Linked DNA regions of Drosophila melanogaster. The protein of the gene in region 1 interacts with the protein of each later gene in a pairwise test. Each region holds a gene or a part of one and is shown in the gene's direction. Other genes may lie near its edges.

What was found.
Region 2: the proteins of roq (region 1) and CG6023 interact in a two-hybrid assay, tested with the Drosophila melanogaster proteins (one large-scale study listed by BioGRID).

What each region holds. Positions count from the first base shown.
Region 1 is NT_037436.4:16,375,349-16,380,656, reverse strand, and holds the start of roq (roquin), read left to right. Parts: upstream 1-2,090; 5' UTR 2,091-2,225; intron 2,226-3,418; 5' UTR 3,419-3,419; coding exon 3,420-3,581; intron 3,582-3,646; coding exon 3,647-5,308. Other genes in the region: Agpat4 (1-Acylglycerol-3-phosphate O-acyltransferase 4), read left to right, coding at 21-186, 422-957, 1,030-1,387, 1,448-1,530.
Region 2 is NC_004354.4:18,313,462-18,317,939, reverse strand, and holds CG6023 (uncharacterized protein), read left to right. Parts: upstream 1-2,038; 5' UTR 2,039-2,207; coding exon 2,208-2,358; intron 2,359-2,603; coding exon 2,604-2,923; intron 2,924-3,003; coding exon 3,004-3,450; 3' UTR 3,451-3,816; downstream 3,817-4,478.

The sequences.
Region 1 (5,308 bases):
GCGTCTATTCTTAGCCTAGGATGTCGCATCTCCGGGGTTTGGGGCGACTGCTGATCGCCGTGACCTTCTTCACATGCGGATTCTTCGTCAACATTGGCCAGCTCCTGCTGATTCTCCTCGTGAGGCCCTTCGATAAGAAGCTATCCCGCAGTCTGGCCTACTACCTGCACTACTCCTTCTATTGCAGTAAGTAACCATCATATTAATATAGATTATCATATCATTATGAGTATAAACGTTTCACATTTCATTCACATTAAGTATAGTGTAGTTTTCAGCACACTTCCTGTTTTCCTGATTAGATTAGGTATATGCAAGGTCTTCTTTTGTATAAATCACTTAGTTTTTACATTTGATGATTAAATGAAATAACGTAAAAGTGGTACTTTTTGATAATTTAAAAACTATCCTCACACTTTAGTCCTTGTCTGTGTGGCGGAATGGTATGCGGGCAGCAAGCTGAGGGTGTACATCGATCCCCAGGACGAGCAGAAGTTCTTCGGCAAGGAGCATGGACTGCTCCTGATGAACCACACGTACGAGATCGACTGGCTGACCGCCTGGATGATCACCGACAAGCTGGGCAATCTGGGAGGCACCAAGGCGTATGCCAAGAAGATGCTGCGCTATGTTCCGGTCCTGGGATGGGTCTGGTGGATGGCCGAGTTCATCTTCCTTGACCGCAACTTCGAGAAGGACAAGGTGGTGATCAAGACGCAGCTGAAGGAGGTCTTCTCCTATCCGGATCCCGTGTGGCTACTGCTGAACGCGGAGGGCACCCGTTTCACACCCGCCAAACACGAGCTGTCAGTCAAGTTCGCCGAGGAGCGAGGTCTTCCCCTCCTCAAGCACCATCTGATTCCGCGCACTAAGGGATTCACGACCAGTCTGCCCACCATGCGTGGCATCTGTCCTGCCATCTACGACATCAATCTGGCCTTCAAGAAGAATGCCGAGGTGAGAACTTAAGATCTCATATATATGTATATATATTTTAAATTACATTTTCGAACTTGAATTAACTTACAGCCAAAGCCCACCATGCTGTCCCAGTTGAACGGAGAGCCCGTGGAACCGTACATGTACATTCGCCGAGTGCCACTGGACGTGGTTCCCGATGACGAGAAGGAGGCCGCCGCCTGGATGCAGGACTTCTTTGCGGAAAAGGACAAGATCATCGACAGCTTCCACGAGACCGGCAGCTTCTTTAAGAATTCCGGAGTCAAGGAGGTGCCCGAGAAAATCTACAAGCCGCGCCTGAGCACGCTCCTCAACTTCTTGGGCTGGGCCACCTTTGCCGTCCTGTGCATTCTGCACTACTTGGTCACCTCGCTGGTTGCCGGCAACTGGTTTGGCTTCATCACGGTTCTTTCCATTTTGGGAGGATGTAAGTTGAGAAATTCTAGTTTCGAGGATATGTGCTTAACTTTACAACTTGTACTTCCAGTCTATAGCCTCATGGAATACGCTGTGAATGCTTCGAAGATCAGCAAAGCCTCTGCGTATGGAGCAGCTGCTGCCAAGAAATAGATTTTCATACCTGAGTTTTATAAACTCTGCAACAGTTTTGGAATATACGACCTATGGACTAATAACTCAACTGCACTGACCATAGAAATATTATGTACATTGAATATGTACGATAAACCATTGTAGTTAACTGAATAAAATAACATTTTATGCGAAATTCACTTACAGGAACTAAATGATTCTTAGAGGCAAATATTTAATATGTGTTTGTACATCCAATCGAAAAAATTTCTCACAAATTCACTTACAAGAACTAAAAGTTTCTTTGAGGCAAATATTTAATGTGTTTGTACATTAAATCGAAAAGATTTCTCAGTCTTCTACCACTTATATAAACGTCGTAGTTACAAAGTTTAAACTTCTTGTACTTTTGTTTTTCTAATTAGAACATGTGTTGTATATTTTAGCCATTTATACAATAAATGCTATAAAATTAGGTTATCGAATTTCAAATATAGATAGTGATGTCCAAAACGATAACTGCTTATCGCAATCAGCTGAGAGCGCCTAGTGCGACCCTTCGTGTAAGCAGTGCAGCAAGACATTCAACGTTTTCAGCCAGCTGGATTCAGTATTCCGCCGCTCGTCACCTGCGGTCATACTGATTGCAACTTCCCAAATTTCTTACAATAATCCAATGAAAATTAAAAAACATATTTTCGTACCTTTAATGCAATAATATGTGCATTTTGAAGGTGAGTCAGTGCAGCACCAGTGCCAAAAATTGCATTAAACCAAGTTTGTGCGAAATCCACGAAGCAGAGTGAAAAGTGAAACGTAACGAAAAAAACGTTGAGAGAGATTTTCGTGTAGTTCATTGTTTTTCCTGGGGGATTACTTGGTTTCAAGGACCTTTCACTGGCCTGTGGCCCTACTTTTCGAAGGTGCCATTCCTTGGGTTGGCACAACCTATAGGATACTGCCCGAAATTCCCTTTGTTCGCGTCTCGAAAGAAAGCGGATGCTTGATGACGTTGAAAGCGAGTTACGTTTGTGTCCCCCATAAAGGCAGTTATGCGTGTGTGTGTGAGTGGCTCTCTCTCTCTGGGGTCTCAAAAGGAATATTAGCGATCCTTTGAGCACTTGAAGATCCGAAAAAGTTCTCCAGGAAGTGCAACTGGGGTATAAAAATATATAGTTGCTATATATACATACAGATATACTTGCATGCGTGTACAAATGCCCTCGCACACAAACAGCAGCAGACGAGTGTGCGTGTGTGTCTGTGTGGGGGGAGCACGCGAGTGTGTGCGTGTGGCGACAGCTGACGTTGGGGGTAAGGCAAGAAGAAGAAAAAGACGAAAGCGAAACTTTTTACTGTGCCACTTTTGATCGTTGTAAAAGGAAAATAAGACTATCTTGAGTCACGTCACTTTCATCGTTACATCAATTCGATAATAACGAGCATATTTTATGGGATATTAGATCTTTACACGATTTACCCTTTTATAGATCGATAATTTAAGTATTTATAGGTGGGCTCTATACAGATCTTATTGTGATAGATTCCATTAAGACTTATAGATGTAGGCTGCCACAAGTCTGTTTCAAATATTATACTTCATTCTCAGAAAAAACTAATGTTTTCCATAAAGTTAAATCTGATAAGGATATACATAAATTGAATTACCCATAGAGCATATGTGTGAACATTTGTAGCATGATTTCTTTACCCAAGATAAGAAACATTACTCATTCATGCTATGAAATTTTAAAGGCAGTATTACTTCCGCCATTCCTACAATATATATGAATAGAATATGTTTAACAAGCCTGATTCGGGTAATTTGTTCCGATTTCAATATCACCAAGATTCCATTAAAATAAGATTTTCCTTACCTTTTGGCTTATTTTATTTTAATTGGTATTTTTATGTAATTTACGCACAGCATGCCGATTCAGGCTCCCTCATGGACAGATTTTCTGAACTGTCCCATCTGCTGCAATGAATTCGCGGCCAGCCAGCGATGTCCGGTCAGTCTGGGCTGCGGGCACACCATCTGCAAGCTATGCCTGACGACCCTCTACAACCGGCAGTGTCCCTTCGATCAGGTGAGTTGAACTCCATTTAAGTATTGCGCCAACCCTAAACGATCTGCCCTAATCTCTTTTCTCAGACCGTGATTGTCAGTGACATCGACAATTTGCCCATCAACCATGCCTTGCTCCAGTTGGTCAAGGACTCGGAGCTCCTCGAGCTGGCACCACCACCGCCCAGTGTGCAGAAGCTGGAGCCGGAGCACCTTAAGTGTTACCAACTGGGTCAGCGGTGCATCGAGGAGCTGGCTTTGCACTTGAAGTCCTTCCTCAACCTGAACGGAAATGGCAATCTTCTAACTCGACCCATGTTACGGAAACTGGTTACTCTGGTCAACTGCCAGCTGATGGAGGAGGAGGGACGGGTGAGAGCGCTTCGAGCAGCCAGATCCCTAGGCGAACGCACAGTCACCGAGCTGATCCTGCAGCACCAAAATCCCCAGCAGTTGAGCTCAAATCTGTGGGCTGCAGTGCGGACAAGAGGATGCCAGTTCCTTGGACCCGCCATGCAGGAGGAGGTGCTCAAACTGGTGCTGCTGGCCTTGGAGGAGGGATCAGCGCTTTCGCGCAAAGTGCTGGTCATGTTCGTCGTGCAGCGACTAGAGCCGAAGTTTCCCCAGGCCTCCAAGACGAGTATCGGACATGTGGTACAGCTGCTCTACCGCGCCAGCTGCTTCAAGGTGTCCAAGCGGGAGGCGGACTCGTCGTTGATGCAGCTCAAAGAGGAATTCCGTACGTATGACGCCCTACGCCGGGAGCACGATGCCCAAATCGTTCAGATAGCCACCGAGGCGGGTCTGCGAATTGCACCGGAACAATGGTCTTCCCTATTGTATGGCGACGTGATGCATAAAAGCCACATGCAGAGCATCATCGATAAGCTGCAGACGCCAAGCTCCTTTGCGCAATCAGTCCAGGAATTGGTCATCGCCTTGCAGCGGACCAGCGATCCTGCGAAGCTATCCAGTTTGCATCATCATCTGAAGTACCTGGCCAATATTGATCCCTGTGCGGAGGTTGCCCCGTGGTCGGTTTTGGCTGAGGCCTTGGATGCAGTGCGGCATTCGGTCGTTGGACTGGTGAACTTCCTTCAGCACCACGGAGTGCGCAAGGCGCAGGACGGCATCAGTGGCGGTGGCAGTGGTGGGACGACCAATAGCAATCCGAAGTACAAGATCAGCTTATGCAGGGACTTGAATGTGCGGCGGGTGTGTCCCCGAGGTTCTAGCTGTACCTTTGCCCATTCCCAGGAGGAGGTAGAACGCTATCGTGCACGGAATCGAGGAAAACATATGAAGACACCGTTGGCGCTGCAGGGACCTCCAGCGGTAGGCGTAGGAGCCATAAAGAAACCACTAGGCGAGCAGGAGGGACCGCCTCTAGGTAACATGCCACCCATGTTACCTATGTCGCCTATGCATTATATGGGCTCTCCTAGGGGATATCTGGATCCCAGCTTGGGACTTTCGCCAGGTGGTGGTCTCCCGCCGTCGCATCACAGTCCCATTACCAGGCTCATAGTGCCGAGCCGCTACGATTCGCGCTTTAGCGGGTTTGGCGGTGGCACGCCCAGGATTCCTTCGCCCAGAGAATACCAAGCCAATCCGGTAGCGCCAACGCAACGCAATGCCAACCCACCGAATTTTAGTGTGAACAGTAACCTGCACAAGGGCTACATGTTGCCCGCCAGCGGTGGAGATGTCTTCCATCTGGCCAATCCGTGGGAGCAAGCATACCTGGCA
Region 2 (4,478 bases), on another chromosome or scaffold:
AGCGATATTTCCGTCGCTGTAAGTGTGGGATGTTTGCAGCTTTTTACTACGCTGAGTACTAAGTACTGTCGTACGTCACTCTGGAAGAGCTCATCAATGGAATGGTCATTTCTAAAAAGGGAATGGCAAACAGGAACGAGCGATAGATAGCGGATCTCCCTCAAACCGGATGACGTTGCAAGTTTAGCGAGTTCAGGCCGAGATTAGTGCGTGGCCAAAGTTAGCACCTCCTCGAGTGCGATAATTAACAGTCAACAATGCCTGGATGGGCGCAAAAAAAAAAAAAAATAAATTATAATAATAATAAAGAGGAGGAAATCAATACATATCGAATCAAAAGGAGAAGGCACCCATCTAGCGCTGAACAAATGCAATTCTGGACTGACAGCGGGCAAACTGCATTGGAAAACCCTTGGACATGGCCTCCAGCTCGAATTCCGGAAAAGTTGGCAATTATGGATCTGCCCAGAGCAATTGGGTAAAAACAAAGCTCGAAAAATTTGCCCAACTGATGAAATACTACGCAGAAAACTCGACAAGGGAATACGACTCCCATGAGCTTTGTGTCCCATGAGTGGGTTGAACTACGTGCGTCTTTATGAGTAATTGCTATGTCAAAGTGTGAGTGCCATGTTGGGCTAGGTTATGTGCTTGCTCGATGCACTGTGCACTACTGTGCACTGGCCATAGAAGAGACAGACACTCTGTCTGCCGGTTGCCGGTGTCTCTTATACCCAGTGCTCGATCAATTGGCCAAGTCCAGCGACCAGCGGCCAGCGGCCAGCGGCCAAGTGGCTATTGCCAGTCAGTTGCATGCAAAACGCGCACGTGCCAAGCGATCGATCGGAAATGCCTACGGAACGACGCGTCATTTGCCAGGCAAGTGGCACCCGCATCATAAATCGCCACTTAGTTAAAGTAAATACAGTAAATCGAGTAACTGAAGAATCCGAAGTGACGCCGCCGCCACAGCAGCTAAGAGACACGAGATATTCGCAAATTAATCAAAGTAAACGCGATTCCACTTTGGCTAATTCAGCCTGATGGGCATTGAGACCAATGTTGAATTTACATATAGCCATTACAATTTCCGGAAAGCTCAGTATTCAGGCATCAGGCTTATCAAATTTCGTACAAGAACAGTGAAATTCCCCATAAAAAATGTGTTTGTTGTCAAAATGTTGCCTCGAGCTTTTTGCTTTGGGTGTTACTCTGTTAGCTTGAACACTGAGTTTGGAATATGTATACCAAACAAATTCCAAGAATCTATCAAACATGTATTAATCAGCTAACAAACAGAGCAATTGGCATGTGTCGTTAAACAGTGACTAAAAGCCACTCATAGACAGAGCTAAACTAAAATGTTTGCAGTCGTCGTCCTCCAGGCAGGCAATTTAAATAAGGATTCAATGTTGCGATTGTAAGGTCAGCCTAATGCCAGTTGGCAACCAAGATGCCCGATTACTTGGTGTAGGGTGCAAGAATGCAATGCGACATCCGTTTTGGGCCATGAAGCGTGTGTGCATAAATTACAACGGTTGGCAACTCATTTGCCGCAAGACAGGAAGAAAACAAAACGTCATGTGCAGCGCTGCAACAGCGGCATGAACTACTGACCAGGGAGTAGCTAATCCCCGGCTGAGTCAGGAAGCCCATCCAAGCCAAGCCAAGCCAACCCACCCACTCACCCACTCACCCCCACCTCCGATAATTGAGAAAACCCAAATTCGAACTCCCTTTGCGGGCCGTTGTTTTTTTGATTCATTATCGTCATCGACCATCGGCCGCTGATGCTGCCGTTGCTGCTGCTGTGGTTGCTGCTATTGCTGCTCTTGCTGCTTGCTGTTGTTGTTGTTCACTTGTCGCTACAACGAGCACAACAAGTGTGAGTACCCGCCGCCCGCGCGCGTGTATGTGTGTGTGTGCGTAAAAAAAGTAAGCTCGGCCACGCGCTGCGCCGCTCGTGCGGCTTCGGCTACTGATATCGCCGGATGGCGGTCCGGTTTGTATTTAAATCGCCGGCGTGTGCCCCAACTCCTCATTAACCGTAAGATCTCGCAGAGCCCGCACGCCAGCCCCAGCTCTCCAGCTATCCAGCTATCCAGCTCTTTAGCGCGCTTTCAATCTGAATCTTGGCCAAATATCGAAAACCAATAAGACATACTCTCCGAACCGTGTGTGCCTAACATCACAAATCAAATCAAAATATGACCGCCAACAGCAGTGCCAGTGAATCCTTCGAGCTCCAATTCTTGGAGCGACTACAGCAGCAGCAGCAGCAGCAGGAGCAGGAGCAGAGTGCTCCGGCGGCGACAAAAGCGTCCTGCCAGCAGCAATCCAACATCATCGGTCGCATTTGTAAGTGTGCATTAAGATCTAGCGCCTCTGAATCATGTCGCTCTATCTGTATCTTTGTATCTATAACTGTGTCATCGCTGGGCAAACAGGAAAGTGCTCATCAAATGATAGGGATCTTGGGCATTGAAGTTTTCAATCATCATTATCTTATTGGCCAAGCCTGGGCATCCATCAGGATTAGGGAGATCTTTTGAACATCTTTGTATGAATCCTATTTACTGACCTTCCATCTTCTTGCATTGCAGCTACCTCCAAGTGCTGGCTCCTGGGCATCCTGCTGCTACTCACAGTCGCCACTAGTTGGCCAACGGGGACAATTGCCGCACCGCGTCGCGCTCGAGGATTGAGCCTGATTCTGCCGCACCGCAATCACGCACGACTACACCATCACCACCAGCACACCAGGTCAATAAGCACCAAGATCGTGCCCCTGTTAACCAATCAGACTGAAGGCAGGGAGCAGTGCACGGACCTTAAAATGACTCCCAATATCGAACACCTGCAAGTGGCGCTCGAGGTGGCCAAGAATACGCGGGAGGCGGTCCTCTGTCTGACCAAAGAATGGGTAAGTTAGCTAGAACGATGGACTTGCGGCAGCAGAGGCACTAAGTTTCCCATTTCCCATTTTTTTTCATTGCGAAACAGCTGAGGAATCAAAACCACACCCTGCCCCAAGATCTTCACTCCTACTCTCTGCATTCCCTGGCATTGAAGCATCCGCTCCAGTCGGAGGTCAAGGAAGTTAAGTTCCAGAACCAGCTGGGTGACTTTGTGTACAGTGGCAAGGTGACAACGCTGCAGGAGGAGATGCCGGCCATTATCGAGTCCCTGCTGGTCCTGGAGCATCTATACGAGATCATTGTGTTCGATCACCAGTCCTGGAACTGCTACTTCAATAACTTCGTGCATTTCTTCCATCACAACATGCACGAGGCTCTCAAGGTCGCCGGTCTCAACGATGCCTGCAATCCGAGGAACGCCGAGTACAATGCCGATCACATATGGCCGATGTTTGGCGCCGCCGTGGAGACCATCAAGGTGCTGACCATCATCGAGCACAAGTACGAGCAGCTGATCAAGCTGTATCAGTAATCCGCTGGACAGAGTTGGACGCTCCAGAGGAGCAGTAAAAGCCATACCAAAAATAATCGCCTCCGATGACCCACTGCAATCTCAAGCTAATAGGCTATGCCCACGAGTATCCAGATCCGTATTCGTCTACTAGACACCCTCATCTGCCTTAGACCCTATTATTTATTATAACTTATTAAATCCCCATTGCCCTCATACGTATTTATATCGCCTTTGCATCCTATTTATATACATACGCGTACCACCATACTCACTGAACACATTCACCGCATCGCAGGCTCGATAACTTATGAAAACTATTACTTAAGTGTATTTTTTTTATATATATTTACAATATTACAATGACTATTAATAAATTATACCGATAGGCGCATACGTGAAGTGCTTTTCTTTTCTGGTTGACCAATTTCATCATTCAGATGAAATTAAGTTACAACGAATTGGGGGCTTAGTCAACGGTGGGAATTCTGCCAACCTTTCGAAGGTCTACAACATCGATTAAAGCATGGGTGGTCATAAGATGTTTCCATGAATTGAAACAAGTGGAAATGGAACAAATCAAAGGTAGAGTTCAAAGTATAATTCTCAATTGCATAGCTAGCTAAGTAAATCGCTTAATACTTAGGGTTTTTTGATTTTTCACTGTTTTTTTTTTGGGGACTCGCGGGTTTATGACCTCCAATGCTTGAAGTTGGCAACCCAATTACCACTCCCCCAAATCGGAAATACTGGGGAAGTATGCGCGAGATTCCGTTTTTGGCCCGACTCGTCACCTGCCCTGACCCACCCCATTGTCGTTTATAGCTCGTGCCCGGGGCACGTTCCGATAGATAGATAGATACATAGATAGATGTATGTACATACATATATATCGGTTCGAGGTTTTCCACAGCGCGGCTGTTAAGAAAACCCCAAGTACCGTACAGCCGTCTGGCTGTGACTCATGGACCATTAGGCAAAATGTCGGGCAATCGTCGTGTGATCTCTGCATGTGACAAAGCAGTTTGTACACGGTAAAAAAGTGTGAT